Linked DNA regions of Canis lupus familiaris. The protein of the gene in region 1 interacts with the protein of each later gene in a biochemical or structural test. Links are inferred from orthologs where the notes say so. Each region holds a gene or a part of one and is shown in the gene's direction. Other genes may lie near its edges.

Region 1 (3,677 bases):
TGAGTTATCTCCACTTTGCCACCACTGTGTCTGTGACCTTAAACTTATTGCTCAATCTGAACCTCAGTTTTCTTTTCTGTGAGTCACAGCTCTATCAGTCATTATCTGGGTGACCTTAGGAAAATTCTAAACTCTTTGTGCCTTACTTTCTCCAGGTTGTCGTAAGGGTTAAAACACTAAAAAAATAAAAAATAAAAAAAATAATAAAACACAAAGAAGTGCTTGGCATGTGGTTAGTGCTAAATAAATATTTGCTATTTTTGTAATTATCTTAATGCTTACACATAATTAGCATACAAGAACCATACAAATTACAGCTATCATTATTATTTAATATTATTGTGTGGTAATCTGTTATCTGCACTGTTTATTTGGTTGGCCCTCAGGAAATATTTGTATTTATTATTTATATGACTATTTGATACGGTGGAATTTAACCTGAAGTTTCTTTGTATATATTTTTTTTGTATATATTTTCTATAGTAAATAATTCTCTACTTTAAAAATGAAAATGACAAAAAATTGTCAATGTGTAAGTTTTATATTTTAATATTTAATTTTTATTTTTAATATTTTGGGTTTCTTCTCAGGGTCAATGACTGTATATTGCGAGTAAATGAAGTAGATGTTCGTGATGTGACACATAGCAAAGCAGTTGAAGCATTGAAAGAAGCAGGGTCTATCGTACGCTTGTATGTAAAAAGACGGAAACCAGTATCAGAAAAAATAATGGAAATAAAGCTTATTAAAGGCCCTAAAGGTATGGAATAGTGAAACCAAGACAGATTATCAAGTAAGAAATTACTGAGATAAATGTAACTATCAAGTTACTAGTGACACACATTCTAAGATTAACAGTACTAGTAATCTACAGAACTTGTGTGGATTTTTAGAATTTCTCTTTAATTTCTGCTGATTTTTGTCTTAGGTAGAATTCTATTTAGCACTTGGAACTTATGTATACTGTTGCTATTAACTTGTAATCATCAATCTACAAAATGTATTAAATGCAGATACACGGGCTAAGTTAAAAGAAAGAAGTAATTATGAGTATGTCATTAGCCTCATCTGTAATGGGGACAGTTAATACTTGATTTCTGAGTTTTGAAAACATTGATGGAATTGAGGATAATTACTTATTCTAATTTGTAACTTTATGGAAGAAGTAGTATTCCAACAAATGAAAAAAAGAATAGAAAGCTACAAATTTGTCTAGTATTGAAGCTATGGAATTTATGAATTACAGAAATTCTTTAAAAAATTCAGAGGGGCGCTTGAGTGGTAGTCTGTTAAGTCTCCAACTCTTAGTTTCAGCTCAGGCCCTGACTTCAGGGTCATGTGATCATGCATGTCAAACTCTAGGCTTAAAGCTCTAGGCTCAAAAAAAGTTCTAGGCTCCACACAGAGGCTGCTTAAGACCCTCTCATACTCTCCCTTTCCTCCCCCACCCCCCATCCCTCTGACTCATGTGTACTTTCTCTCTTTCTAAAATAAATAAGTGAATCTTTAAAAAAATAAAAGTAATTCATAGAATATTGGAAAAGGAACAAAATTATCCACATTGTGAAGCCTATTAGTTCTGCCTACTACCAAAAAATTTTATTATTTTTCTCAATTGTTTTACTCTTATGAAGGTATTAAAAGTGTTAGAAACACAATCATGATGGGAACAAAATTGAAACATAATTTTGTAATGCCTCTTTGAACTAACAAACGCATTTACAAACAGACCTTAAGAAGTAACCTGGGCAGAGAGGACAGAACTTATTTCTAACTGTAGGAACATCTATATAAAAAATTGTTCAATGACTACAAAGTAAACACGTAAGACTTAAAAAATAGGCAAATAGGTGTGCTTGGGTGACTCAGTCACTTGAGCATCCAACCCTTGATCTCAGCTCAGGTCTCGATCTCAGGGTTTTAAGTTCAAGTCCCCCCTCTGGGCCCCATGCTGGGGGTGGAGGCTACTTTAAAAAAAAAAAGTAGACAAATAGATTCGTCTGTATTTAAAAAAAAAAACCAAAAAACATGAGTGTGATAAGACTGTCACCTTCTAGTTTTCAACCATTTCTGGACTTAAAAATACTTTAAATGATGAAATTTCAAAACTAGTATTTTCCAAACAGGTCTTGGGTTCAGCATTGCTGGAGGTGTTGGAAATCAACATATTCCTGGGGATAATAGCATCTATGTAACCAAGATAATTGAAGGAGGTGCAGCACATAAAGATGGTAAACTTCAGATTGGAGATAAACTTTTAGCAGTGAGTATAAGAAAGCTGTTATTTTAAAAATCATTTTCATGTCTCCTCTTTTTTTTTTTTTTTTTTGGAAAAACTGAAATTTTTCTTGCCAAAAATGTTTAAACAATATTTAAATGAATGAACACTAATTTTTAATCAAAACCTGAAAAATGGTTCTTGGTATTATTTGCCCCTTTGTTCCCCCTCTACTAGCTTCTCTCTCTTTTCTTTCTTTTTTTTTTTTTTTCCTTCCTTTTCCTACTCTTTTTTGTTGAAGGGCTAGGGAGTTGGATGCACAGAATTGTTTAAACACAGTATCACCCTTTGTGTGTGACTTTCTTTTTCTTGTTACTTAATTATAGTATAATGAAGACTGCTAAAATCAAAACTAGAATATCAACAACTTGTTTTTTATTCATTTGCTTTTAAAAATTGTTTAATCACATACCTATGCCTAAATATCTTGTTTAATATTAATTTGTTCTGAAAATGTTCTTAAAGGCTGTTGTGAAAAAAAAACAAAAAAAAAAAAAAAGGCTGTTGTGCTGAATGTAGTCTTTTAAATTTTATTTTTTACTCAGAATTGGTTTACTGAGATTTATCCAGATTGTTGCCTAGAGCTAAAAATTTATTCATTTCACCTCTACATAATATAGCTCCAGATCTATACTGCAGTTTATTTATCCAGTCTTCATCAATAATGATCCTAGTCTATGTTCCCTAGAAAAACATCTGAAGAAAAGGTACCGTGCTAAGGTTTCATTGGGAGATGTAATCTCAGAAGCTAGAGTGAATGAAAATGAAAAGTGAGGGAGAGAATAGGGGAAAGTCAATACAAGGTATTATGTTTCTGAGCTGGCTATAATTTCATAAGAAAATGTCACTAATTGACATATAGGACAGCCTTCCAGTCAGGTGATGTGACACTATTAAACTTTAGATCCAGCCATCCAGGGAAAAGAAAATATTTGTCTCCCTATCTCTTGTTAGATAGAGTCTATTCCATGAATGGTAACTGTCCCTAATTTCTGCACTGTTACTCAGCTACTCTGGGCAAATGCTAGGGAAGCCAGCTCCCATACTCCATGGTATAGCATTTCCTCTGAACTGAGAAGTGATGGAAAGAACCAGAGCTTCAGTGATCTAGACAGACCAGAACACAGGCTTTTGACGTGTTACAGCTCTCATTTCTGTGTAACACATTAGTCATGCCAAGTGCAGCCCTTACCCTAGAAAAGATTAAAAGATCTGGTAATGGTAGGAGACAAGGTGAGAGAAGTGGTAGCCAGGACTCTCCAGTAAGCACACAGCCAAAGCCTAGTAGGCATGTAGGCTCAAGAAAATCTGAAAAGGCACATAAACTAGATCTGATACAGTAGTAAGTTGGGTTATTGCTTTTTTTTTTTTAAAGGATTTATTTATTTATTTATTCGTG
Region 2 (4,253 bases), on another chromosome or scaffold:
AATTGTACCAGTGTTTCCCTGGGATTATTTGTATCTTAATATTTCAGATTAGACTATTGTGGAATTTTTTTTGTTTGTGTCATTCTTTTATTTTTAAGGTTGCTGTCTGCCTTTTCATCTGTTGTTGAAAGATTGGTAACTTATGCATTTCATTTCAAGAAAAATTAAAACATACCACCATATTTTTCAGCAATGAGACGTTTCAGAGTGAAGAAATAGGTCAATACTTTTCAGTTTAATAAGTTTATATTTTATGAATATTCCTATTCTAGTTTGAGGAAGACTTCAAGGCGGCTGCTATGTTTACTGCTCAAATATCAGCACAATAATAATCAGGCCTTTGAAACTATGGGTGAAAATCCAGCGAATTTCAGTTGTCTTTCCTTTAGTAGAAAGGATGTGTGGCATTTTGCGTTCTGTCCCTTTTCGTAAAGAGCTCTAACTAGAGACACTCCCCTCCGGGGGTATCTTTATATTGGGAAGCTCTGCATGAGGTTGAAATTTTTATGGGGAACTTGTTTAAAACACAGTTAAAGGCGGGCTTGCTATAGCAAGGTTAGGGGTTGCCAATAAATCCATTTATAGCAACTTCTGTATTCCCAGCTCCAGACACACCACCGGGGTGACCCGTACAGTTTCCGAAGGCCACACACGGCAGCAGCAGTCAGTCCTGCCTGCTCTCTGGGTGACCGAGGCTGGTCCCGCAGCCTCCGGTGTGGAGGGGGCCGACCCCCCCCCCCCCCCGCCCCGGGCTTGAATGCACCGCCTGGGAGCCTGCGGGGTGCCGGTGAGCCCCGTCCTGGCTTTTGCTCTGCTGGGAAATAAGACATTTTGGGAACTTGGGCATTTAGTTTACTGCTCCCGACCGAAGCAATAATAACATCTTTGTTTCTCCCCCTCCCGGGCTCCCTCCTCCCGCCGACAGGAGCGCGCGGCGGGCCCCGCGGAGCAGCCGGACGGCCGGGCAGCCCCAGCGCCAGGGGGCGCGCCCCCCCCGCCCCGCCCCGCCCCGCCCGGGCACCGGAGAGGCGCGGGGAGATGCCTCCTGCGCCGCGCGGCTCCCTGAGCTCGCCCGAGCCCCCGAGAGTGGGCGGCCGCGCGGGCGCGTGGGGCGGGCGGAGGGAAGCCGGGGGGCCGCACAGACTGCGCTCCGCGGCTCGCTCCCGCCCGCCCTCCCCGGCCGTCTGCGGAGCGCGGGGGGCTGCGGGGCTGCGGGGCTGCGAGGCCGCGGGGCCGCGGGGCCGCCGGACCGCTCGGCAGGTCGGGCCCCGGGGGCGGGGCGGGCGCGCGGGGAAGGTGCCTCGGGAACACGCGCGGGGCGGGGCCTGGCGCTGCCAATGAGGCCCGGGGGCGGGCCCGGGGGCGGGCGGGCCCGGGGGCGGGCGGGCGGGGCGGGGCGCCGGGAGCCGAGAGGCGGCGGCGCACCGAGGCCGGGCGCTGGCGGGAGCCGCGCCGCGGGGCTGGAAACTTTCCCGGCAGGTAACTCCCGCCGCCCTGGCGCCGCCGCCGGCTTCGCTGGGTCCGGGCGGGGCCCGCTGCAGCCGCGCCCCGGGGCGAGGGGTCCGCGCGGGAGGAGGGGGCGACGCGGCCGGCGGCGAGGCAAGTGCGAAAGTTTCTGGAGCCCGCCCGGCCGCCCTCCTCCGCGCCGGCGCTCCCGGGAGCCGTCGGGGACGGGCTTGGGCACGTCGGGCGCCCGGGCTCGGCCCCGCGGGTGGAGGGGCCCCGGGAGGCGGGCGGGGGCGCGTGGCCCGCGGGGTGGGGGCGCCGGGGCTTCCGGGGCTCCGCGATGTCGGGGAGGGGCGCGGGAGGGGCGAGGCTCGCCGGGGGGCCGCGGCTCCCGGGTCCCCGCACAGGGCGCAGGGGCCCTCGGGGCGCTCGGGGGCCGCTCGCGCGTCCGGGGAGGCTTGGGGCGGGGGCGCGGGGCGCGCGGCTGGGGCCCGCCGGGCGCGGCCGCCTTCCGGACGCCCGGCCGCGGAGGAAGCCCCAGGCATTGTGTGGCTCCGGGTCGCAGCCGCCGCGAACTTCCTCGGCTCGGCGCGGCGGCGGGAGGGCGCGCGGCGGGGGCGGCGGCGGGGGCGGCCCGGGTGGGCGCCGCGGGGCCTCGGGGCGCGTCGGAAGCGCGGTCCCGCGGGGCTCAGCCGGGGAGCGAGGGCGCCGCCCTCCTCCTGAACTTGACCCCAGAGCAGCGCCGTCGGCGGGTCCCCAGGTCGGGGCGGGTCGGACCCAGCCGCGGGCCTCGACCTCGACCTCGACCTCGGGCCTGGGGCTGCGAGTGCGCTCGAGTGAGGAGGCGGAGGGGCTGAGAGCGCAGGAGCAACCCGGGAGCTGGGCTCAGAGTTGGTGGGATTTTTTTTCTTTTCTTTTTTGAGAGTTGGCATTCCTCTGTAGTGGAAATGAGGGGAGTCTGCATCTCTCCAGCCCCCCCCCCCCCCCCCCCGTCACGGTTATTCCCGCCAGGCTGGCACTCCTGGGGGCGGGGGGGAGCTCTCCGGCCCTCCGAGGCGGTTCAGATCTGCTACCGCGAAGAGTGCTGGATTTTAACAGCTGCTTCTTGGATGCTGAAACCGGGGAGTGTATGAGCGACGGAGAGACGGTGGATGCGGAGCCCGCCTGGGTGTTCCGCTCGCTCCTCTAATGTACTTAGAGGTTCACGGGGGACCTTCCCGAGAGGATGCCGGTTTCTGCGGTTTGTCAGCCACGGCGCAGGGCGGGTGTCAGGACTCCCGGTGCACGGATCCTGGTGGAATTGAGATGAAAAGTGTGCAGGAGTAAAGGAAATGCGGTATCTGACATCCTTCAGGACTTCCTCCTGGCGCTGCTCCTCTTACCTGCCAAGTGAACTTGGTCCAGGCTTCCGGACTGTTGTGATCTGACAATAAGGGATGGGAAATCGTGTCATCCATTTTAGTGGAGGCAGGAAAGTCCAGAAATAAATGTAAGGCTACTTTTTCATGACCCTGTCTCTCTAGCTGTGATGCCACAAACTTTTAACTTTTGCTGGGACTTGGAAGCAGTGTTTTTCTGCTTTCTTGGTTTAACCACCAGAATGTCCAAATTATCATAATTTATGTCCATCGTGGAACTAAAGCATAACTGATTCATAGTCAGCCCTTTTCTGCTTCCCATAAGAGCCTGTAGAAAAAAGAACATTTTGTCTTTTTCACCACACACCATTTATTTGGTGCCATACTGGGTTTTTGATGCTGGATGATTGAGGGCACAATTTTGAAGACAATGAAATTGTCTTGATTAAATTGTCCGTTTTTAGGCAACATTCCCCCTCAGAGTTGCTGATTAATTCTTTATCAAACCAGTATCCCTGGGCTGATATAACTATAATCCACGTTATAATGACGCCTGCCAGCACAGCTGGAGGTTAATGTTATGTCAATGTTTCCTTTAGACATTTCCAACCGGATCCTGAAGGTTTTGCCTAGGTTGGATTGAGGGTAGGCTGTGAACCTCACGGTCAGAGAAGTGGCTTTATTTTAATTTTTCTGATGAAAAGTTTAGTTTAGTTACAGGAGTAAAATTTACAAATTCAAAATGAAGCAGAGGATGTGTGTGTGTGTGTTGGTGGAGAGGGATTTTAGTCTCTAGGATAACTTTGTCTTTTATTTTATTTTATTTTTTAAATATTTTATTTCCTTATTCATGAGAGACACAGAGAGAGAGAGAGGCAGAGACACAGGCAGAGGGAGAAGCAGGCTCTATGCAGGGAGCCTGATGTGGGACTCGATCCTGGGACTCCAGGATCAGGCCCTGGGCCGAAGGCAGGCTCTAAACTGCTGAGCCACCCAGGGATCCCTGACTGTCTTTTAAATGTGTATTTCAGTGGTGGAAAATTAGAACCTCCCCCCAACCAGTTTACAAAGTGTTTTGTATACAAGGCTCTAACACCTTTCTGTTTTTTTCATCATCATCATCTCTAAAATGGGATTATCTTTCAACACTAAACTTCTCTAAGACTTGGAGAAATGTGCTTAAGCACAGGTTGCAGAATGCCTACTATTAGCACAGTGCTTTGGGGTTTACAAAGGGCTTTACCTATGTATTTTAACCCTTAATTCTCAGGTTAGTAAACTGAGGCTGAGCCATTTAGATCAGTTTGCTGGGTTTCATCTATAAGTGGTGGAGTTGGACTTGTACCTGGATCTGCTCATTCTCCTTATCCCCTCTCCCTTTATTTATGGAGTCACCTGAGGATTGGCTAAGACTTGACAAACAGACTAATGCTAATATGTGGCAGTTTC
Region 3 (4,365 bases), on another chromosome or scaffold:
ATATAGAAAAGGAAGAGAACAGGTGGCTGGGAAAATAAGCAGGGCGGTGGGCTGATTCTGGAGGGCTCAGGGAAGTCGTCTTTGATGGGGTAACCTGTCAGAAGGTCAAGGAGAAACACAAGGGCAGGTTCTAGGGTGGTCAAACTTAAAGGCGGCTGTGGCCTAAGAAAAAAAATGAAGGATAAAGTATTGGGAGAAAAGACTGCTGCAGAGGTAGGCAGGTTGTGCAAGGCCTTGTAAGTTACGGAGGACTTTGAACTTTTATTCGATGTCTGCTTAGAAGCACATGTACATATACATTTTAGTTACATTTATCTTTGATTGGTAAAATTCAGGATTCAAAGCATAAAATATGGGCAGCCCGGGTGGCCCAGCGCTTTAGCACCTGCCTTCGGCCCAGGGTGTGATCCTGGAGACCTAGGATCGAGTCCCACATCGGGCTTTCTGCATGGAGCCTGCTTCTCCCTCTGCCTGGGTGTCTGCCTCTCTCTTTCTCTCTCTCATGAATAAATAAAAATCTTCAACAACAACAACAAAAAAAGCATAAACTATTCTGGGCACCTGGATGGTTCCTCTTTTCCTCCGGAGGTCGGGATGGAGCTGAGTCCTGGGATCCAGCCCCATAGCGGGGGGTGTAGTGTAAGATTCTCAGTCTCTCTGCCCTTTCCCTTCTCTAAACACACACACACACACACACACACACACACACACAAACACCCCCCCCCCACCCCGGCAAAGCCTAAGATATCCCAAATCCCTGAACGCAAACGCCCGCTGGCCTCCGTTTCCTCGCACGCAGCGCCCCCCCCACCCTCGGGAGCTCCGCTACGGCCGGGCCGTGGCCCGCGGGGGCAGCGGGGCCCGCACACGCGAGTTCGCAGGCCCCGGGAGCGCGGCGAGGCCCGGCTGTCACCCGCAGGCCCGCCCCGGGGCTCTCTAAGTTGCAAGCGGCCGCGCTCCCACGCTGGTTCCCACGCTGCGCCCCGGCTCCCCGCGCGGAGCCCCGAGCCGGCACCCAGCCCGCGGGCGGCCGGGGCGGGGGCGGGGCGGGGGCGGGGCCGCGCGGCGGGGCGGGGGCGGGGGCGGGGGGCGGGGCGGGGCCGCGGGGCAGCGGGCGGCCGGCGAGCTCGGCGGGGCTGCGGCTGCGGCTGCGGCGACTGGGCGCGACCCCGGCCCCGAGGGCGGGGATGCTCGTGGGCCCTGGGCGCCGCGGAGCCGCGGAGGTACAGCGGCCGGTCGGGGCGCGGGGGACCCCGGGGGCCCGGGGCGGCTGGAGGGGCGCGGGCGCCCGGAGCATCGGCTGGCAGCCCGCGGCGGGTGGCGGCTCCTGGGGGGTGGGGGGGGGGCTGCCTGCCCTGCCCTGCCCCTGCCCTGCCCGCCCTGCCCTGCCCCCGCCGGGGGGCGCGCGGGCTCCACGCTCTCTTTCCCGCCCAGGCGAGCCCGACCGACCGCGCCCCGGCGACCCCGCTATGGACGCGAGAGCCGCGTGGACTTCCCGGCAGCCTGACCCCGCTGTGCGGAGGCGCTCCACCCCTCGGCCGCCGCCGCGGCCCGGAGCAAGCGCGGCCGCAGCCTGCCAGAGCCCGGCGCCCGCGACGCAAGAAGGAAAAGAGGAGGAAAGGGGAGGAGAACCACAAAAGAAAAAAAAAGAGGCCTCCGGGAGCACGAGGGACAGCAAGGGAGGGAAGCGCCCCAGTGCAGCGAAAGGGGCCGGTGCCCGACGGGAGGACGCTGCGCCGGAACCTCGGAGCCGGCTCCCCGAGGCCGCCAGGGCCCGCGCGCCCCCCGCGCACCGCCAGCTCGCCCTGCAGCCCCCCGCCCCCGCCCCCGGCCCAGGGGCCCGCCCCGCGCCCCCCGGGGGCCCCCGCCGCGCCCCAGAGCCGGTCCCCCGAGCGCAGGGCGCCCCCGCCGCGGCGGCCGGCCCAGGACGGCGCGCCCCCGGGGGGCCCCTGCGTGGTGCTGAGCACCAACAGCCCCGCCGCGCTCAAGGTGGGCAAGCAGCAGCTCATTCCCAGGAGCCTGGCCTCCGAGGTCCGAGCCAGCAAGGCCCCCCTGCAGAACGGGGAGCCCCACAGGAGACTCCTCAAGGTGCGCAGCATGGTGGAGGGGCTGCGGGCGCAGGACGCGCAGGACGAGGCCGAGCCCGAGCACGACGCCGGCAGCCCGGGCTCCCTGCGCAGGGGCCTGCGCTCCACGTCCTACCGCCGCGCCGTGGTCAGCGGCCTGGACTTGGACAGCCCCACCACGTCCAAGAAGAAGAACAGGATGTCCCAGCCCGTGCTCAGAGCGGTGATGGAAGACAAGGAGAGGTTTTCCAGCCTGGGAAGGATAAAGGTGAGAGTAGGCAGGTGTGTCTCCCTCCCCCCTCCCCCCTCCCCTACACACACACCCTCCTCCTGCTGCTGCCCCTGGAAGCCAGGGTCTTGGACGGGGTTGGCGGTGGGGGCCAGGGCCACGCAGGAAACCTGAAGCTATCCTTCTCTCTTTTTTTTTTTTTTCTTTTTTAGGTTTTATTTATTTATTTATTCATGAGAGACACAGAGAGAGAGAGAGAGAGAGGCAGAGACACAGGCAGAGGGGGAAGCAGGCTCCATGCAGGGAGCCCAATGTGGGACTCGATCCCAGGACCCCGAGGTCATGCCCTAGGCTGAAGGCAGGTGCTAAACCGCTGAGCCGCCCAGGGATCCCTTATCCTTCTCTTTTAATTCTCTTTGTGGGTCAGACCCGTGCACACCGACCTCTTGGCCCTCCCAGTGCTGGCTGTCACAGCCAGGGTAATAATGCACCTTCGTGGGAAGAAGGGAAACGCTTAGTGCTGTTGTAACTTTTTAGGGCAACACGTGGGGGGACTAATGTGAAGAAAGAAATACAGCGAGTCAGGTATGGGCTGAGTGCTGAACGCTCTGAATACAGGGGGCTGAACAGAGGGTGGAGAGCAGCCCCGGTGCCCTGGGCCCTGTGCTCAACCTGGTGCTCATCCAGAGGTGTCACTTAGGGACACCTGTCAGGGGCACCGGCGACTGACTCCTGATTTCTTTTGAGCGTATTGATTACTTTATTGAAAGCGGCTTATCTACGTGAATCAATTACAGAATGGTTTGGTCAGTGCTGATAACATACTACATAGCGTTCAGGCAAAATGCGATTTTTATTTTTTTATTATTTTTTTAAGACTTTATTTATTTATGATAGACACAGAGAGAGGCAGAGACACAGGCAGAGGGAGAGGCAGGCTCCATGCAAGGAGCCCGACACGGCACTCGATCTCGGGGCTCCAGGATCGCACCCTGGGCCAAAGGCAGGCACCAAACCTCTGAGCCACCCAGGGATCCCCAAAATGTGATTTTTAAAGTTATTTGCCAGAATTACAGAAGATACAGAGAGTTTGTCATCTCTGTTGTTGCTGGTGTCTTTCGCCACCGTCTGTGGTTGTGTTTTATGCCCATGCTGTGCCCGTTTATTCTTGGATGCATTTAACAAGTTGGTAGCTCAGAACTTCAGGTTCAACTGAGCCGTGTGTATTAATTACTCCCTGATAAAGGCCTGGGAGTTGCGCGTATTAAAATACTGCCAAATATGACGAAGGGACGGGGAAAACTAAAGAAGGATATTTTGGAGTGTGCATGTGCCGCTTTCTCTGGGAACAGTTTAGACAGATCTCAGCAGAAATTCATTTTGGCAGCCACCACTTTTCTTGATTAATCAGAGAACTGGAAACAGTTTGTGTAAGCGTCAATATGTAATACGCAAGTCAGGCTATTTTATTTTTGCTCTCATGGCCTTAAAGAAATGACATAACATTTTAGGGGTCCCCTCCCAACCCCCTCACCTCTGCAAGTATAGCAGAGTTCAATTTAACAGTGATTGGTGAACCCTGAGTAGTGAAATGAGCTGAAGTGCTGGTCATTTGAGGATTCTCAAGCTGTTTTGCTGGGGTGTGGGGGACATTGTACGTTTTATTTCACCGTTTAGTGGGTTGTACATTTTATTTCACCATTTTAGTGGGTTGTAGTCAGATGAGTGAACTACTCAAGGGATCATCTGCTGTATGCTTTTGGAAATCCAATGAATGTAACAAGTACTTTTTCTTAAAATAGCTGTATTTTTTTTTATTTGGCTCATTCATACATAGTTTGCTTTGCTTTTTCTTTTTCTTTTTTTTTTTTTTTTTTGCTTGTTTCTTAGAAAAAAATGCTGAAAGGACAAGGAACATTTGATGGGGAAGGTAAGCATTTGATTTTCCAGACTTTTATTGCTGCTTCAATGTGGAATATCAATTATAAGTTGAAATCCAACTGCAGTAACAAAAACACTTAAGATGAGAAAAATGTCCAACTTCTTCCCAAATTATACAGTACAAAGCTC
Region 4 (4,114 bases), on another chromosome or scaffold:
CGACAGGATTCAGCCTGGAGCAGCAGGTGGTCAAGCGCTGAATCCTGCTAATGGCTCCAGAAAGCCATTTCTCCTGTGCTCCCCAAGTGCTTCCAGTAATAGAAACTGGTGGATGCCCTGAATTCTGACTGTCGTGATCCTCCCCAGCTCTCGGGGCCACCCTGCGTTCTCGGGAGTCCTGTCGGACCCACTGAATGCAAAAGCATAGGAGACAGAAGACCAGGGCAGTCTTTCCAGGTCCTGCTGAGGACGTGAATTAGCTGGACCTGGAGGGAGCCGACCTAGAAGAGAGGCCAGGAATTCCAGGTGACAGAGGAGCCAGATCGGGGCTGCGAGGAAGATGCGATCAGCAAGTGGCAGATCGGAAACAGAAGTGGGCAGAGAGAGGCAAGGGAGCCGGCCGGGGTGGGTCCGGGAGACGGGAGATGATGGATGAAATTATGAGGGGAATGTCTGATGGGTGGAGGATAAAATCCGCACAAACTGGGATTTTAAACATAAGGAGATAGTCCCCTGAGAAGATGTAGGAGGAAGCATTGAGGTGAACATGGAGGAACCGCGAGGAGGAAAAAAAAAAAAAAAAAAAAAGATGATTATCAGAGAAGTAGAAACTGGGATTAGCTCCTAGGCTGTGGGTGGTAGGGAGTGTTCTGGAGTCTGGGGAACAGAAAAACAACAACAGGGACATGCTTCAGGGCGGCAGGAAGTGCCAACCTAAGACAGGCCGCTGGGGAGTCTCCGAAGGCCCCCGTGTCCTCACTTCTGTCCTCCCCCTAACTGAGACTGTGGTGCATGGACATAGGGGTTTGGGGTGAGTACCAGACAGCAGAGGCCGAGGTCACTGTCGCCCTGTTCAGAGCCGGCAGCATGATGGACGTGCATGATGTCTGTGCTCTGCTGGCAGCGTTCACCGTCTCCGTCGGTCCTCACCAAGAGACGGGGGAGGTTCCATGTGCCCTGCACTTCGTAGGTGAGGAGACTGAGGCTTGTGGAAGCCGTGGAGCCTGGGTGAAAGCAGGCCGGTTCCTCCAGCGGCCCTGATCCTGAATCAAGACAGAGAGGGGTGGAGAGGCACTAAATTCAGAAGTATTTGATGAGTGGAAATTCAGAAAAAAAAAAAAAAAAAAGAAAACCTATGCCTTGAGATCAATGAATGATGGAAGCAGTTGTAAGGTGACCGCGTCGTTGTCGTGGAAGGAAGAGAGTGACCGCGAGAGTTAAGACCTGGCATGAGCGAAAGGGACGGCCACGTGGGTGGAGTGGAGAGAGGAGAAATAATTGAGTTGCCATGAAAATAGCCCGAGCGGGAATCAGAACCAAAGAAGAGGGCAGGAGGGTGGTTGGGTGAGGAGGAGACGTAACCGGCTGCGGTGGTCCCTCGGGGCTTCGGGTGCCTTGCTTGCTTGAGGCCCAGAAGAGCGGGGTCTGGGAAGGAGGCGCCGTCGGCTCTTTACGCGTCGATGCTTTTTACTCTGCTCCCATGCTTGTTCCCTTCCTTTTTCAGGTGGAGTGCTGCTTCTGCGCCGCCGCAGCTGAAGGATGCTCTGCGCTCCCTGGCTTTCCATGGAGACCTCCGAGCCGGGTTGGCCCCCGCTGACACCTCGCCTCGTACCTTCTCTACCTCCCAAGCTGTTCGCCTGTGTCGCGAGCTCGGCCCGGGCCCCGCGCCCCGGAGGCCTGTGCTGAACCCAGGGAGCGGCCGCGGGCTCTGGGCGGCGATGGCCCGACGCGCTTCCAGCCGCTCGCCCGCTCGGGTCAAGCCGTCACGAGAAGGCAAGTGCTAAGACTAAAGGCTTATTTGCATTTTATTTAAATCTGATGGACCGAGCTTTGGACGATTTCCATGGCAGAAAAATCCATTCCGTTTTCCAGGCACAAGTGCTGGCCGTCAGATAGCCGCGGCCTTTGAATCCCGGGCGGCGGCGGTGGCCAGTTGGGGCCGCGCTTCCAGACTGCGCCTGGGCCCCGGGCGCTGGGGGCCCCGGCGGGGACTTGGGCCCGGCGCGCGCTACCCGGACGGGCCGGGCCTGGAGAGCAGCGCTCGTCCCTGGGAACCGAGAGCATGGGGCGTGCTGGTTTAAAAACGGAAAATGCAAAGTTGGACTGAAAATATCCTCAGTCTTCCGAGCAATCTGCTGAACGGTTCCAAACTTACCTTAGTGTGGTGAGGCGGGGAGCTGCCCCACTTTCCGTCGCCCGCCTCCCGCGGCCATGGAGGTCGCGATGGTGAGCGCCGAGAGCTCGGGCTGCAACAGCCACATGCCCTACGGCTACGCGGCGCAGGCCCGGGCCCGGGAGCGGGAGCGGCTGGCCCAGTCGAGGGCCGCGGCGGCCGCGGCGGTGGCGGCGGCCACGGCCGCGGCCGCGGAGGGCGTTGGGGGCCCCGGGGGCGGCGCGCACCAGCAGCACCAGCAGCATCAGCAGCACCAGCAGCAGCAGCTGCAGCAGCAGCAGCCCCGCGGCACCTGCCCCGCACTCGAGCCCCAGGGCGGCCGTGTGGCCCGGAGGCGCCGGCGCTCGCGGCCCAACCGGAGGAGGCCTCAGCCGCGGCCCGGCGGCTTCCCGCACGGCTCGGACCTGCTGCCCAGCGGCTCGGAGGAGAGGATCCTGAGGGAGCTGAGCGACGAGGACGAGGACGACGAGGACGACGAGGACGCCGAGGAGGAGGCCCGGTTGGGCCGCGGCCAGGACGACCGCGCGGCCCACGGCTCCTGCAGCGACCTGCTGCCCCGGGACGACGGCGCCTACGGCCCGGGCCGGCCCAGCGGCTGCTGCGAGCGGGTGGTCATCAACGTGTCGGGCCTGCGCTTCGAGACCCAGATGAAGACCCTGGCCCAGTTTCCCGACACCTTGCTGGGCGACCCCGAGAAGAGGACGCAGTACTTTGACCCGCTGCGAAACGAGTATTTCTTCGACAGGAACCGGCCGAGCTTCGACGCCATCCTGTACTACTACCAGTCGGGCGGCCGCCTCAAGAGGCCGGTCAACGTGCCCTTCGACATCTTCACGGAGGAGGTGAAGTTCTACCAGCTGGGAGAGGAGGCCCTGCTCAAGTTCCGGGAGGACGAGGGCTTTGTGCGGGAGGAGGAGGACCGGGCCCTGCCGGAGAACGAGTTTAAAAAGCAGATCTGGCTCCTCTTCGAGTACCCGGAGAGCTCCAGCCCGGCCAGGGGCATCGCCATCGTGTCCGTCCTGGTCATCTTGATCTCCATCGTCATCTTCTGCCTGGAAACCCTGCCCGAGTTCCGGGACGACAGGGACCTCATCATGGCACTGGGCGCGGGCGGACACGGCGGGTCGCTGAACGACTCCTCGGCGCCCCACCTAGAGAACTCAGGGCACACCATCTTCAACGACCCCTTCTTCATCGTGGAGACCGTCTGTATCGTCTGGTTCTCCTTCGAGTTCGTGGTTCGCTGCTTCGCTTGTCCCAGCCAAGCGCTCTTCTTCAAAAACATCATGAACATCATTGACATTGTCTCCATTTTGCCTTACTTCATCACGCTGGGCACCGATCTGGCCCAGCACCAGGGGGGCGGCAACGGGCAGCAGCAGCAGGCCATGTCCTTTGCCATCCTCAGGATCATCCGTCTGGTCCGCGTGTTCCGGATCTTCAAGCTGTCCAGGCACTCCAAGGGCCTGCAGATCCTGGGCCACACGCTCCGAGCCAGCATGCGGGAGCTGGGCCTTCTGATCTTCTTCCTCTTCATCGGGGTCATCCTCTTCTCCAGCGCCGTGTACTTCGCGGAGGCCGATGAGCCCACCACCCATTTCCAGAGCATCCCAGATGCGTTTTGGTGGGCCGTGGTGACCATGACGACTGTGGGCTACGGGGACATGAAGCCCATCACCGTGGGGGGCAAGATCGTGGGGTCCCTGTGTGCCATCGCAGGTGTCTTAACCATCGCTTTGCCAGTGCCAGTGATTGTCTCTAACTTTAACTATTTCTACCACAGAGAGACTGAGAATGAGGAGCAGACGCAGCTGACACAGAATGCGGTCAGTTGCCCGTACCTCCCCTCTAATTTGCTGAAGAAATTTCGGAGCTCTACTTCTTCCTCCCTGGGGGACAAGTCAGAGTATCTGGAGATGGAAGAAGGAGTTAAGGAATCCC
Region 5 (4,293 bases), on another chromosome or scaffold:
TGGCTGTGAGGCCTTGGGCCCAGGGGGGTGGTGGCAGACAGGGTCTGGGACTCCCGGCCAAACTGAGGACCCCTTAAGGGCCAGCACTGCACACCCCTAGTTTGTCTGTTAGATCTTCAGACCGACGGGTCTCACTGGTCCTATTTTCCGGATGAAGAAGCCGAGGCTCACGGCAGCCAAGTGACTTGCCCACGTTACGCGGTGGATGAAGGACTGCAGTGCAGGACTCCGGGGCCCAGGGAGCACAAGCCGGAGGGGGGGAGGAAGGAGCCGGGAGGGGGGCGGGGGAGGCGGGGGGCAGGGCTCACCCCCCAGGCCTGGCCCAGGGAGGGAGTCTCTCCCGGGAAGAGGGGAAGAGGCGCAGGCAGGCACCAGGCTGTTGATCTCTAAATTACAGCGTTGGCGCGCACCGGTTGCTGCGGCAACGGAGTTGTCCTGAACGGGGAAGTGTATAAACATTGCCACAGATGCACAATTAGATCAGGAAGAAGAATAGAACAGAAAATAGAAACTTCCAGCCTTATATAATTCTGGGCCAAAACGTTACCGGGCGCCCAGGCCCCGGCCCAGCCCCGCCAGCGGCTGGGGCCCTGGGCAGCACCGAGGGCCTCTCCCTCCCGGGCCGTGGCGGGGAGGGGGTGCGGGGAGGGCTGCCCCCCGTGGGCCCAGCTGGTGCTCCCGCCGCCCCCACTGAAACACAGCTGAGGAGGCTGACAGGCAAACCCTGCCTCTCGCCAGCTCCCTCCTGCTCTGGAGCCGCGCGAAGGAAGGCAGGGGGGTGACTGGCTTTGACCAAGCACCTACTACCTCCTGGGTCCTGCGAGGTAGGCTTTGAGCCCCCGATTTTACAGGTGAGGGGAAGTGAGTCTTCTCAGGTGTCACAGCCAGGCAGCGGGTGTGCCTGCCTCCCCGCCTCCGCACGTGGGCCCACGGATGTTGACAGCACCTGGGGGCGGGGGGCACCGAAGGTTAGACACACCTGAGTTTGGATTCGCTCAACAGCTAGCTGTGTGGCCTTGGGCAGGTCACTTCCCCTCTCTGAGCCCTGCTCCCTCACCTGTGACGTGGGACTAGCGATGCCTCCATTGGAGCCAAAGTGTGGGGGCTCCCCCTTCCTCCATCTCAACCACTTCCATTGGCGTCTTCACCCACTTCTGTTCCCAACAGGACCGGGGACAGGACGGGAACCCACATGGGGCTACGGGGCCCAGCACAGTCTCGTAGGACTTTCCACAATGATGGAAATGTTCTGTATCAACTCCGTCGGAGATGGGAGCCATTAGCCACAAGTGGCTACTGAGCGCTTGAAATGGGGAGAACTGAAGTTAAAATTGTATTTAATTTTAAGTAAACGCACAAAGCCGCAGGTGGCCGTTGGCCGCTCTGTCGACAGCACGGGAGGACGGCCAGCCCCAGAGACAGCCAAGAGGGCAGCGGCTGAACCCAGGGAGGTGAGCAGGGGCCAGAGCGGTCACAGCTCCCTCCGCTCAGGGCAGGTGGGGCAGGTGGTGGAGCCGAGACGGGTACCGGGAGGCTCCCCAAACAGGGTGGGGGCCATGGAGGCTCAGAGGGGACAGCCGGTGGCCTCGGCTTCTGGCCCTTGGAGGCGCGGCTCGGGCCCCCACGCTCCGTCCCGCGGTGGGAAGCACCCCGCCGGCCACATTCTGTCCCCGGGCCCAGGAGGTCCTGCGGCTTAGGCCCGGCCCTTCCCTTTCTGAGCCGGCATCTCACCTGTCGGGCTTCTCCTCCCCAGGCCCTGCGTCTTCCCAGGTGACCACGCCGGCCTCAGGACATGCACGGACACAGCCGCAACGGGCAGGCCCACGTGCCCCGGCGGAAACGCCGCAACCGCTTCGTCAAGAAGAACGGCCAATGCAACGTCTACTTCGCCAACCTGAGCAACAAGTCGCAGCGCTACATGGCGGACATCTTCACCACCTGCGTGGACACGCGCTGGCGCTACATGCTCATGATCTTCTCCGCGGCCTTCCTCGTCTCCTGGCTCTTCTTTGGCCTCCTCTTCTGGTGTATCGCCTTCTTCCACGGCGACCTGGAGGCTGGCCCGGCGGCGGCGGCGGCAGCGGCGGCGGCGGGGGCCCCGACGGGCAGTGGCGCGGCGGCCCCGACGGCCCCCAAGCCCTGCATCATGCACGTGAACGGCTTCCTGGGCGCCTTCCTGTTCTCGGTGGAGACGCAGACGACCATCGGCTACGGGTTCCGGTGCGTGACGGAGGAGTGCCCGCTGGCGGTCATCGCCGTGGTGGTCCAGTCCATCGTGGGCTGCGTCATCGACTCCTTCATGATCGGCACCATAATGGCCAAGATGGCCCGGCCCAAGAAGCGGGCGCAGACGCTGCTGTTCAGCCACCACGCGGTCATCTCGGTGCGCGACGGCAAGCTCTGCCTGATGTGGCGCGTGGGCAACCTGCGCAAGAGCCACATCGTGGAGGCCCACGTGCGGGCCCAGCTCATCAAGCCCTACATGACCCAGGAGGGCGAGTACCTGCCGCTGGACCAGCGGGACCTCAACGTGGGCTACGACATCGGCCTGGACCGCATCTTCCTGGTGTCGCCCATCATCATCGTCCACGAGATCGACGAGGACAGCCCGCTCTATGGCATGGGCAAGGAGGAGCTGGAGTCGGAGGACTTTGAGATCGTGGTCATCCTCGAGGGCATGGTGGAGGCCACCGCCATGACCACCCAGGCCCGCAGCTCCTACCTGGCCAGCGAGATCCTGTGGGGCCACCGCTTCGAGCCCGTGGTCTTCGAGGAGAAGAGCCACTACAAGGTGGACTACTCGCGCTTCCACAAGACCTACGAGGTGGCCGGCACGCCCTGCTGCTCCGCCCGGGAGCTTCAGGAGAGCAAGATCACCGTGCTGCCTGCCCCGCCGCCCCCGCCCAGTGCCTTCTGCTACGAGAATGAGCTGGCCCTCATGAGCCAGGAGGAAGAGGAGATGGAGGAGGAGGCGGCAGCCGCTGCTGCCGTGGCCGCAGGCCTGGGCCTGGAGGCGGGCTCCAAGGAGGAGGCGGGCATCATCCGAATGCTGGAGTTTGGCAGCCACCTGGATCTGGAGCGCATGCAAGCCACCCTCCCTCTGGACAACATCTCCTACCGCAGGGAGTCTGCCATCTGACCTCCAGGCCCCGCCCTCGTCACTTCCCACAAGAGCCTCTGCCGGGGGGTGGGATGCCAGGACACCCCCTCCACACTCAGGACAGAGCTGACCCTGGCCCCATGGACCTCCTGGAGGGAGGTGGGGGCTTCAAAGACTGGGGAACCCCTTCCTATTGACTCCAGAGCCCAGGCCTGGGAAGGGCCCAGGATCCCCTCTGCCCTGTCAGCCTACCTACTGGCATCTCGGGGACCCCAGACCCACCACCCTTTTCCCACTGACACTTCAAGGACGTGCCCCCTTTACTCTCAGAACCTTGGGGAAGGCGGCTGGACTGCTGGGGGGTGGGCATCATGGGGTTCTGGGGTGGGCAGGGGTTAGTGTGGGGGGAGGGAGGGCGGGGGTGCGTTTCTTTTGCATGACTGTGACCTGTTGCTCTTGACTTTCTTTTGTAAATATCTATAAATGGAGAGATGGAGGCACCAAATCCACCTTCTGCCATTTGTACCTGCAGGATGAGGAGGTGCGGTCCCTCTCTGTGAACCCCTCCCCCTCCCGGCCCAGTGAGCCTAGCCCCTTCCCCCCCCCCCCCCCCCCCCCCCCCGCCCAGCTGGCTGGTCCCCAAAGCCAGCCATCCTGGCCCCTGGATGGTGTTGGGTTTGGGTGCAGAGGTGGGGCCCCAAGAGGCAGGACGAGGACCATCCCCTCCCTGTGGTCCCTCCGGATCCCCGGGGTCCAGCCCAGATTGACAATGGAGTTTGTAACTATATATTTTTAATAAAGTATATGGTCCATTAGGGGTAGGCTGATTGAAGATGACAAGCGGAAGAGAAGAGATAGAGTGAGAGAGAGAGACCAACATGATGTGAGTGTGTCTGTGTGTGGTACGTATGTGTCCCTTTCTGAGACACTGACCCTTGGAGGGGACTTTACCGCCTGCCATTCTCCTTCCTGGGATCCAATGGGAGAGATCCCCAGCAGGCTTCAGAGGACCTGGGCTTTGCTACTTAACAGCTGTATGGCTGCCAGCAAGTTGCCCATCTGCTCTTGGCCTCAGTTTCACCATCCGTAGAATGGGATGAGCCACTGCTCCCTCCTGAGAGATGATGGGCAGGAAAGCCCTGTGTGGATGTCAGCTAACCCTCTGTAACCAGGGGGAAGTGGGGAAGGCCTGC
Region 6 (4,340 bases), on another chromosome or scaffold:
TTTAAGCATTGTCTCCCAAGCCACAGGGGCAGGGAACGGAGGATTCAAGGAGGAAAGCCATCTTAGGTGAGTTTATCATTCAAAACCATCAAATGAGGGCTCCCATCATTCAACCTTGGGTGATCGTCATTGTGTGAATTGAATTCCATTCAGAAAAATTTATAGCAGAGCTCACCAACGGCCCATGAGTCAGCTCCGATTATAGGAGATTTTTCAATCTGGTCTCAGACTTCAATGTCATCCCCATTTGTTCTGCTGAACACCTAGTACATGCAAAGCTCCATATGAGTATTGTGGGGAGGTGGGAGTAAAGATGAATGTAGAAAGGCACAATCTGTACTGTGTTGGAGTTTATAATTCAACAGGAGTTTGCCAGAACTGAATGTCGAAGGACCCATGCACTGTTTAAAAAATTATGGAGTTTTATTAAGCAATGGTTCCTGTGTTTGGTGTGTATTGTAATGAAAGGATACAGATGAAAATCAACAACAGAAAAAAGGCGTTTGGGGTAAAGTCTAGGAGGGACCTAGCACAAGCTTCCGGTTGTCCTATCCCAGTGGGGTGTGCTTACTTCTTCAGGCAGCGATGTGTGGCAATACACACAAAGTATTACCAACAAGGAAAGCTCATTGAGCCTTGGAGTCCAGAGATTTTATTGGGGTTCGATTACATATGCATGGATGACTGAGCATGTTGTTGACCTAACCCAGGCCCTCCAGAGATCAAGGGAATACCATATGGCCCAAGGCCCTCAATAAGTCACATTGTTAGCATAACTGTCTGGTATAGCCCAAGAAACCTAGGTAAACAAAGATAATTTTATTAAGTAGGATATTCCAATGACCTAGAGGTTATCTCCTAGAACTTGAATAAGGGCCAAATATTTTGGGGAAATATACATGTTTAGACAACCCAGATGTGCTGAAATAATCCTTTGCTACACAGAACCCAAATGCATTCTTATTGTTAAAAAATTCAAACATTACAGACAGGTCTAAATCACCCTCTTCTTGGAGGAGCATCTTTACAAATGTAATGTTTGCCTACGTGCTGTTGCTAGAAGCTCTGTTGTAGTGCGCACTGGGACTCTGTCTCAGAACATCTCCAACATCTAGTAAGAAGACAGACGGTGCCAAAGATGCTTAGCATTGGACTAATCTTCCACATATTTCCCAAGAAACTCTCATAAAGATTCAGAGACTACATTCCATCTGACTCCAGATACATTGTGGGAAAGTTAAAATAAAACTTTTCTCTTAGGAAAAGAAGATGACTGAAGAGACACTTGTTCTCAAGCCAGTTACAAGTCTAGAGTGGCTTATGTGAATTCCTTTGGGATCACTAGGGATGGCAATATGGAATTGGAATGCTGCCATCAGAATTGAGCTTGAGTTCCGGCCTTTCCACTTCTCAGTGACTGTAGCAGGTTGACTGGTGTCATCCTCCAAAAGATAGGTCCACGTCCTAAACCCTGGTACCTGCCAATGTGACTTTATGTGGAAATAGGGTTTCTGCAGATGTAATTAAGTTAAAGATCTAGAGATGACATCAGCCCAGACTTAAGGTGGGACACAAACCCAATGACTGGCATCCTAATAAGAGAAAGGAGAGGGAGATTTAACACACAAAAAGCCATGCACAGGAGGAGGCTGTGTGGAGATGGAGGCAGAGATTGGAGCATTTCAGCTTCAAGCCAACAATGTCAGGATGGATGCTGCCACCAGGAGCTAGGAAGGAGCAAGGAAGGAATTTGTTTGCAAAGACCTTATATCCAAATAAGGTCACATTTACAGATACCGATGTTAGGACTTTAATTTCTCTTTTCTGGGGACACAGTTCAACTCCCAAAAGAATCAAGGGTGGAAGCAAGAAGTCCAGCTAAGGAGCAATGGCAGCAACACGGGTAAGAGATATTTTTAGCTTGGATCTAAGTTGTATTAGAAGACTAGTGAGAGGTGGTCTGTCTCGGGATGTATTTTGAAAGCAGAGTGAACATTATTTCTGATCTATTGGAAATCAAAAGGCGAGGCATCAAGGATGTCTCAAGCTTTTTCATATGAGCACTTGGAAGATTACAGATGTCATTAATTGAAGTGGCAAAGGCTGCGGGAAGAGCAGACTTCTGTATGAAGATCAGGTGTTTGATTTTGAGCACGTATAATTTAAGACGTCTTTCAGACATCCAGTAAAAATATTGAGTGGGAAATTGAATAATAAAATCCACGGTAGTTCAGGGAGAGGCCTATGCAGGAGATATAATTGGGAATCACGGGCATCTGGGTGGTGAACTCCTTATCTTGGCCATTCTGTCGACATTGTACTTGGAAAATATTTACATGAAAGCTTTAGCTGGAAACCTGGAGGTTATCCTGAGCTGAAAAAGTCTGTGAAAGAGTAAAGCATTTGCCAGGCTTCTTGGCAAAATCCTCAGTCACTTATCTTTTGTAGGAAAGGGATATGACAAAGAAACTTGGTCACTTACGAAAATAGGTAACACTGAGCTCCAACAACATGCCAGATTTATTTTATAAGTTCTTTCATTCATGACTTAAAATAACCCTTTGAGATTGCTTGGTACCGTTCACAGTTTCTATTACAATGGGGAAAACCTAATTTTAAGGTGGATAGATAGCTCCGAGGTATCCAGCTTCCAAGGGGCACGGTAGAGATTCATACCCACGTTTGCCCGAGAGTGGATTTGGAGATGTTGAGCACCGTGTTAGTTAACCTCACAAGCGTCTGTGCCTTTTGTAGAGCCGTCCAAGGAAAGCACTTCTCTGAAATACATTTCTCAAATTACCTCCAATTTCCTATTCTTAACTTTTGATTACCCCTAATCCCTCATTTCTACTTTTTTTTTTTAATAAGTAAGCTCTATGCCCAACATGAGGCTTGAACTCATGACCCTGATACCGAGAGTTGTATGCTCTACTGACTGAGCCCGTCAGGAGCCCTTCAACCCCTCATTTCTGACAGTGTGTCAGAATTTCCCATGGGTGAGGTGAAATAACTTTGTGCCCAGAAAGGAGTCCTGACAGTTACTAAGCTGTCACACCAAGGCTCATCCCCTTCCAGCTGGAGACGATGATGGCTGCCCAGACCCAGATAACCAGAAAGGGGTGGCAGTCTCCAGCCTGCCCACACTGCCTGCCTGTCCTCTAGGTGTTTCTACAACCTCCTAGCCAATGTGTGAACTGCAGGCCAAGCCAGAGTCTCTTGGCCTAGCGCATGTCTCCGTGTTCTCCGGAGCCAATAAAATGCAGCATGAGAGTTCATCAGGCACCTTCTGGTCTACCCACCCCTGACGCCCTGGTTGTGGGGCAGGCTGGACCTTGTCTTTGCCCTCCATCAACTCCAGGACCTCTGGTGGAGAGGCTAGATAGTGGCCAGTTCCTCCATTCCCTCCATTCCTTCCTACTCCCACTCTGTGCCCCTATACTTTTTAAGGTGATAATAATTATAATTATTATGATAACAACAGCCAAAATTTATTAAGTATTTATGATGTGCCAGACACTGTGCTCAGGGTTTCACACAAGACAATGCTTCGAAGCCTCACGACAATTCAGTGGGGGTATATACAACCTTTTTGTGATAAGGCCATTGAAACACAGAAAAAGTAATTTTCCCATGGTCGTAATGCTAATGGATGGGATTGCTGGCCTTCGAACCTAGGCCCTCTCCTTCCTTCCATCCTCTGTCCTATGTGGTGTCTTCCTTGGAAATAATAAGTATAATGGTAACTAGAATTGTAACCAGAAAATATATCAAGACTTGTGTCAACCACCCCACCAAATTTAGAAAAGGAGGCCCAAGGCAAATGAAATAATATTCTGACTATTGCTATATTTAACTTCTCTTTTCCTTCCTTCTTTTCTTCTTTCCCCCAAGAATAGACTTGGAATAATATGGTGGCTTCCTGAAAGTGGGGAAAGTGAAAGTGGGGTCACAGGGATCATGTCTCACAGTGGACAGAAGGTCAGCTTTGGCATCAGCTCACTGACCAAATGCTGAACAGTAAGAGACTTGACAGTAACAGACCCTGAGGAACACATCTTCAGGGGCCTCTTGATGTTGATTTTATGACTTCATTCCCTTGAAATTTCCTAGGAAAGTTGGTTGTCCTTCTGTTAACATAGTAACTGGAAGAGTCTGCTGGTTGGTTAACCGCAAGGACAGGGCTGATGAAAGGGAAGGGTGTGAGGTACATCTGCACAGATTATGACTCAAGACCAGTGTTTTATCTTTTTTTAGTTTCTATATATAGCCAGTTTATTTAAGAGTCTAAACTCATGTGATTAAAACAGAAAATGTTAAAAAATTTTTTTCTAATAATTTTG
Region 7 (3,677 bases), on another chromosome or scaffold:
GGGAACCGGCAGAAGCAGTTCAACAGAGATGTGTTGGAGTGAGGACCCCAGGAAGGGGCAGAGACTGGGCTGGGGCTTCCTGGAAAAGGAGGGCAGGAGGGAGGAAGTGGGCAGTTGGTCTGTTGTGCTCAGATGAGCTTGACAAAACAGGATGAAGAGACTTTCCTGTTCCCGTACCCCTGTACTTCACAAAAGCTCTCATCTCTCTTGGCTCTATGCCCAAAAGTCTTTCTGGGTGGCCCGGCTTATCCCCTGCCCTGCTTTGGGCCCCCATTTTCCTGTCTCTGAAATGAGTGGGTCAGTGGAAAGGACCCCGAGTAACCATGTAGTCTGGCCCTGACTTTTTGGGGGTGGATTCCATTTCGAACATTCCTTCCTCATAAGGACCTGCTAGGGACCATGGGTCCAGATTTTGGAAGTCTTGTCAGTGGGGGTGTCCGTCCATTTAGGCAGGTCAGGGTAGGTCAGAGGTTTTCTGCAGAGGACTTGAGAGTGCCATACCCACTTCTGTGTTTCTCAGCTGTGTGGTGGATGAGATGGACTTCTCCTCCATGGATTTGGATGATGCACTCCGAAAGTTCCAGTCCCACATCCGGGTTCAAGGCGAGGCCCAGAAAGTGGAGCGACTCATTGAAGCCTTCAGGTGTGCCTGTTTCCCCACTCTCCCCAAGCAAGATTGGGGGTGGGATGGGGATGGGGAGAGGGGTCAGTACAGTATGCATCTCCAAGTTACCTCTCTGGGCCTCCTACTTTCCTCACCAGAAAATGGAAATGATAAATCCTACCTTGCCAGGCAGTTGTGCAGTTGTGAGGATCAGAGGTAGCGTGCCTAAAGTGTTTGGTTCAGCATCTGGGACGTGGGCATCCAATAGGTGACAACAGCAGCCACAGCTAATATTTGTTGAGCACTTACCAGGTATCAGGTGCTAAGCTGGGCACTTTACACAATTATTTCTCTGGATGCTCACAACAACCCTGTGAGGTAGGTGCTTTTATTGTGATTCCCATGCTGCAGATAAGAAATCAGAAATTTAGAGAGGTTAAGTAACTTGCTCAGGGTCATAAAGTGAGTAAGAGGCAGAGCCAGGACTTGAACTCAAGGGTGTTTGCTTTCATGACCAGATGCCCTTAACTTAGTAGAGTTAATGCTTTGGGGATTAGGCAGACCTGGATAGAAATCCTGGCCCCATCACTTTGGGGTATTTAGCAGAGAAACAGAAGAATTCCTAAGAACTTGTTGCCCATAATGGGAGAAGGATTTGACTTGTTAGAAAGATCTGGATTTTCATCTTGTCTTCACCATTTACCAGCTCTATTACCCTGAGAAAGATACCTCTTCACTTTGGGCCTCATTACTTCCTCTGTCACATGGGGCTGCTAATAGCTACTTTGTAGAATTCTGATAGGATTACATGACACAAGGTACCTAAGTCCCCTAGCAGAGCTCCGAAGAGGTAGTGGTTGTGATTTTTACACACTAGTGTTGGGGAAACTGAAGAAAGAGGTTGTACCCAAAAGGCTTGGGAGTATTTCTTGGGGGAGAGGGTTGGTGGCACCAGACTCAGGACAGAGGGGCAATGGTGGGTAGGTGAAGATTACTGGTGCCTGACCCTGGCCCTGATCCTGCCCTGCAGCCAACGATACTGTGTGTGTAACCCAGCCCTCGTGCGCCAGTTCCGGAATCCAGACACCATCTTCATCCTTGCTTTTGCTATCATTCTTCTCAATACTGACATGTACAGTCCCAGCGTCAAGGCTGAACGCAAGATGAAACTAGATGACTTCATCAAGAACCTGAGAGGTGACCCCAGGTCCCCCTGTTGGCTTGTCCTGTCCTTCCCTTTGGAAGGGAGAGTGGGCAGGGTGGGAGTGGGCTGGGGAAGGAGGAGGGAGATCATATAGGCTCCCTGGATATTAACCTGTGATGTTCTCTGATTTCCTCCAAAGCTGCCATATTCCCTTATTAATTCACTCAAATACTTGTCCATCCACTCATTCCTGCACTGAACACTGACTGAGTGGGTTCTGGGGTTACAACAGTGGATGTGAGAGATGAAAGTCCTGGCTCTTACAGAGCTTATTCTAATCCACCCAGGCATTGACGCATCACTCCCTCTTCCCCTCTCCTCTTTATTTATGCTCATAAAGGCTCATTTAATTATGCTCTGTGCTCCTTCTCCATCCATACATTTATTGATTCCCTTGATCAGCCAGCCAGACGGCCAGCCAACCAACACTGAATGCCTCATGTGTGCCCGGCCCTGCAATGGGGACTTAGGACACCGTAGCCCCTGCCCCGAGAGAGCTCCCGGTTTGTGGGACTGACTTATAGTACCAGATACCCAACACAAGAGAATAAATAAGTGAATCATGATGTCAGATAGGCCGAAAGTGCAGTCAGAGCTCAGAGGTAGGAGAGCCCACCTTCAATACACTTCCTGGAGGAAGTAGAATTTTCATTTTTAAGATTGACCTTCAAGGCATAGACAATGTGACAATGTGACAGAATAGCAACAGAGGAGGCTTACCTAGCAGTAAGAATAAAAAGGCACAGAGGTAGGAAAAGTTGTTGGGAGAACAATTAAGATGGGGTGGACGACCTAGTCAGAAAGGTCAGTTGGAATCAATATATGAGGGCCTCAAATGCGAGGTGAAAGGTGTCACCTTGACCTTTTTTCTTGGTTTATTGTGTTGATATCAAGCCTGTCATCTCACTAAAGAGCAGCCTACTAAAAGCGGCACAGATGTTAGTATTATTTAAACAGAAATGAAAGAGAGCAATAGATTTGAGGAAAAACAAACAGATGAGACAAATTGGCTGACCGACAGGCTTTGCACGGTTGCTGGGCTTAAGCTCTCTGGCAGCTGAGATAAAAAGATGATGTGATGAAGGATGTTCCCTTAGCACCTGTCCAAGGAGGAGATGTGGCATTTCCAAAGGAGAATACAGTTTCTCTAGCAGAAGATTTAGGGGGAAGAGTGAGTGGGTTTCACTCAGCAGACAGGAGTGGAGAAGGATGGTAGACTCGGGGGGAGGGAGTTAGATCAGAGGCCATCTGGAGCTGTCTTCCAGACTCCTGCTGTTAGTCATTTGTTCATTCACTCATTCTCCCCTTTCTTTCTCCCTCCCTCCTCCTCTGTATGTATATGTGTATGTGTGCATACATATGGTTACATGCATACACATGTGTGTGCATACATATATGTGTATATATACGTGTGTGCATGTATTATTGTATATGTGTATATGTATTTGGAGAGGAGGTACTTCCTCTCTATGTATATGTGTGCATATACATATATTTGTACATACATTTATATATATATATGTATTATGTATGTGTATATCTTTCCCCCTCCAATTATTAAATAAATAAACAAGCGAAATGAATACTTGCTCATGCCCAGAAATTTTGGAAATAGAGCAAATGAGAAAAAATTTGTTTAATTGTCCTGAATTCTGCTGCCTAGAGGCAGCCATGGTTGATATTTTGCTGTTTTCTAGTCTTTTTTCCCCCTCAGCATATGTAACTTTTTATACAGTTAAGATCACAGTTAAGCTGTGAATGTAATTTTTATCCTGCTCTTTCCACTTACTTTGCTCCAGGAATTTTCTCAGGCTTTTTTATAAACATCAAGTTTTTAATAGCTATAAATTATTAAGTGGATATATTCAG

What was found.
Region 2: the proteins of DLG1 (region 1) and TANC1 interact in a test that uses a peptide from one of them, tested with the Homo sapiens proteins (2 studies listed by IntAct, with this or other methods). The link is inferred for Canis lupus familiaris from reciprocal best matches to the Homo sapiens genes DLG1 and TANC1.
Region 3: the proteins of DLG1 (region 1) and ARHGEF26 interact in a test that uses a peptide from one of them, tested with the Homo sapiens proteins (2 studies listed by BioGRID and IntAct, with this or other methods). The link is inferred for Canis lupus familiaris from reciprocal best matches to the Homo sapiens genes DLG1 and ARHGEF26.
Region 4: the proteins of DLG1 (region 1) and KCNA4 interact in a biophysical measurement, tested with the Homo sapiens proteins (2 studies listed by IntAct, with this or other methods). The link is inferred for Canis lupus familiaris from reciprocal best matches to the Homo sapiens genes DLG1 and KCNA4.
Region 5: the proteins of DLG1 (region 1) and KCNJ4 form a complex in vitro, tested with the Homo sapiens proteins (2 studies listed by BioGRID and IntAct, with this or other methods). The link is inferred for Canis lupus familiaris from reciprocal best matches to the Homo sapiens genes DLG1 and KCNJ4.
Region 6: the proteins of DLG1 (region 1) and CYSLTR2 interact in a test that uses a peptide from one of them, tested with the Homo sapiens proteins (2 studies listed by IntAct, with this or other methods). The link is inferred for Canis lupus familiaris from reciprocal best matches to the Homo sapiens genes DLG1 and CYSLTR2.
Region 7: the proteins of DLG1 (region 1) and IQSEC2 interact in a test that uses a peptide from one of them, tested with the Homo sapiens proteins (2 studies listed by IntAct, with this or other methods). The link is inferred for Canis lupus familiaris from reciprocal best matches to the Homo sapiens genes DLG1 and IQSEC2.

Annotation. Positions count from the first base shown.
Region 1 is NC_049254.1:30,810,982-30,814,658, reverse strand, and holds part of DLG1 (disks large homolog 1), read left to right. Parts: intron 1-590; coding exon 591-760; intron 761-2,126; coding exon 2,127-2,263; intron 2,264-3,677. UniProt on the Homo sapiens protein: Essential multidomain scaffolding protein required for normal development. Recruits channels, receptors and signaling molecules to discrete plasma membrane domains in polarized cells.
Region 2 is NC_049257.1:5,020,628-5,024,880, forward strand, and holds the start of TANC1 (protein TANC1), read left to right. Parts: upstream 1-1,395; 5' UTR 1,396-1,479; intron 1,480-4,253. UniProt on the Homo sapiens protein: May be a scaffold component in the postsynaptic density.
Region 3 is NC_049244.1:48,836,687-48,841,051, forward strand, and holds the start of ARHGEF26 (rho guanine nucleotide exchange factor 26), read left to right. Parts: upstream 1-1,469; coding exon 1,470-1,597; intron 1,598-1,898; coding exon 1,899-2,334; intron 2,335-4,185; coding exon 4,186-4,225; intron 4,226-4,365. UniProt on the Homo sapiens protein: Activates RhoG GTPase by promoting the exchange of GDP by GTP. Required for the formation of membrane ruffles during macropinocytosis. Required for the formation of cup-like structures during trans-endothelial migration of leukocytes.
Region 4 is NC_049242.1:51,057,400-51,061,513, reverse strand, and holds the start of KCNA4 (potassium voltage-gated channel subfamily A member 4), read left to right. Parts: upstream 1-1,225; 5' UTR 1,226-2,211; coding exon 2,212-4,114. UniProt on the Homo sapiens protein: Voltage-gated potassium channel that mediates transmembrane potassium transport in excitable membranes. Forms tetrameric potassium-selective channels through which potassium ions pass in accordance with their electrochemical gradient.
Region 5 is NC_049231.1:27,345,859-27,350,151, forward strand, and holds the end of KCNJ4 (inward rectifier potassium channel 4), read left to right. Parts: intron 1-281; exon of another isoform or gene 282-824; intron 825-1,167; exon of another isoform or gene 1,168-1,451; intron 1,452-1,753; 5' UTR 1,754-1,792; coding exon 1,793-3,139; 3' UTR 3,140-3,704; downstream 3,705-4,293. UniProt on the Homo sapiens protein: Inward rectifier potassium channels are characterized by a greater tendency to allow potassium to flow into the cell rather than out of it.
Region 6 is NC_049243.1:2,926,026-2,930,365, reverse strand, and holds the start of CYSLTR2 (cysteinyl leukotriene receptor 2), read left to right. Parts: upstream 1-1,448; 5' UTR 1,449-1,903; intron 1,904-4,340. UniProt on the Homo sapiens protein: Receptor for cysteinyl leukotrienes. The response is mediated via a G-protein that activates a phosphatidylinositol-calcium second messenger system.
Region 7 is NC_049260.1:45,329,366-45,333,042, reverse strand, and holds part of IQSEC2 (IQ motif and SEC7 domain-containing protein 2), read left to right. Parts: coding exon 1-38; intron 39-520; coding exon 521-643; intron 644-1,634; coding exon 1,635-1,801; intron 1,802-3,677. UniProt on the Homo sapiens protein: Is a guanine nucleotide exchange factor for the ARF GTP-binding proteins.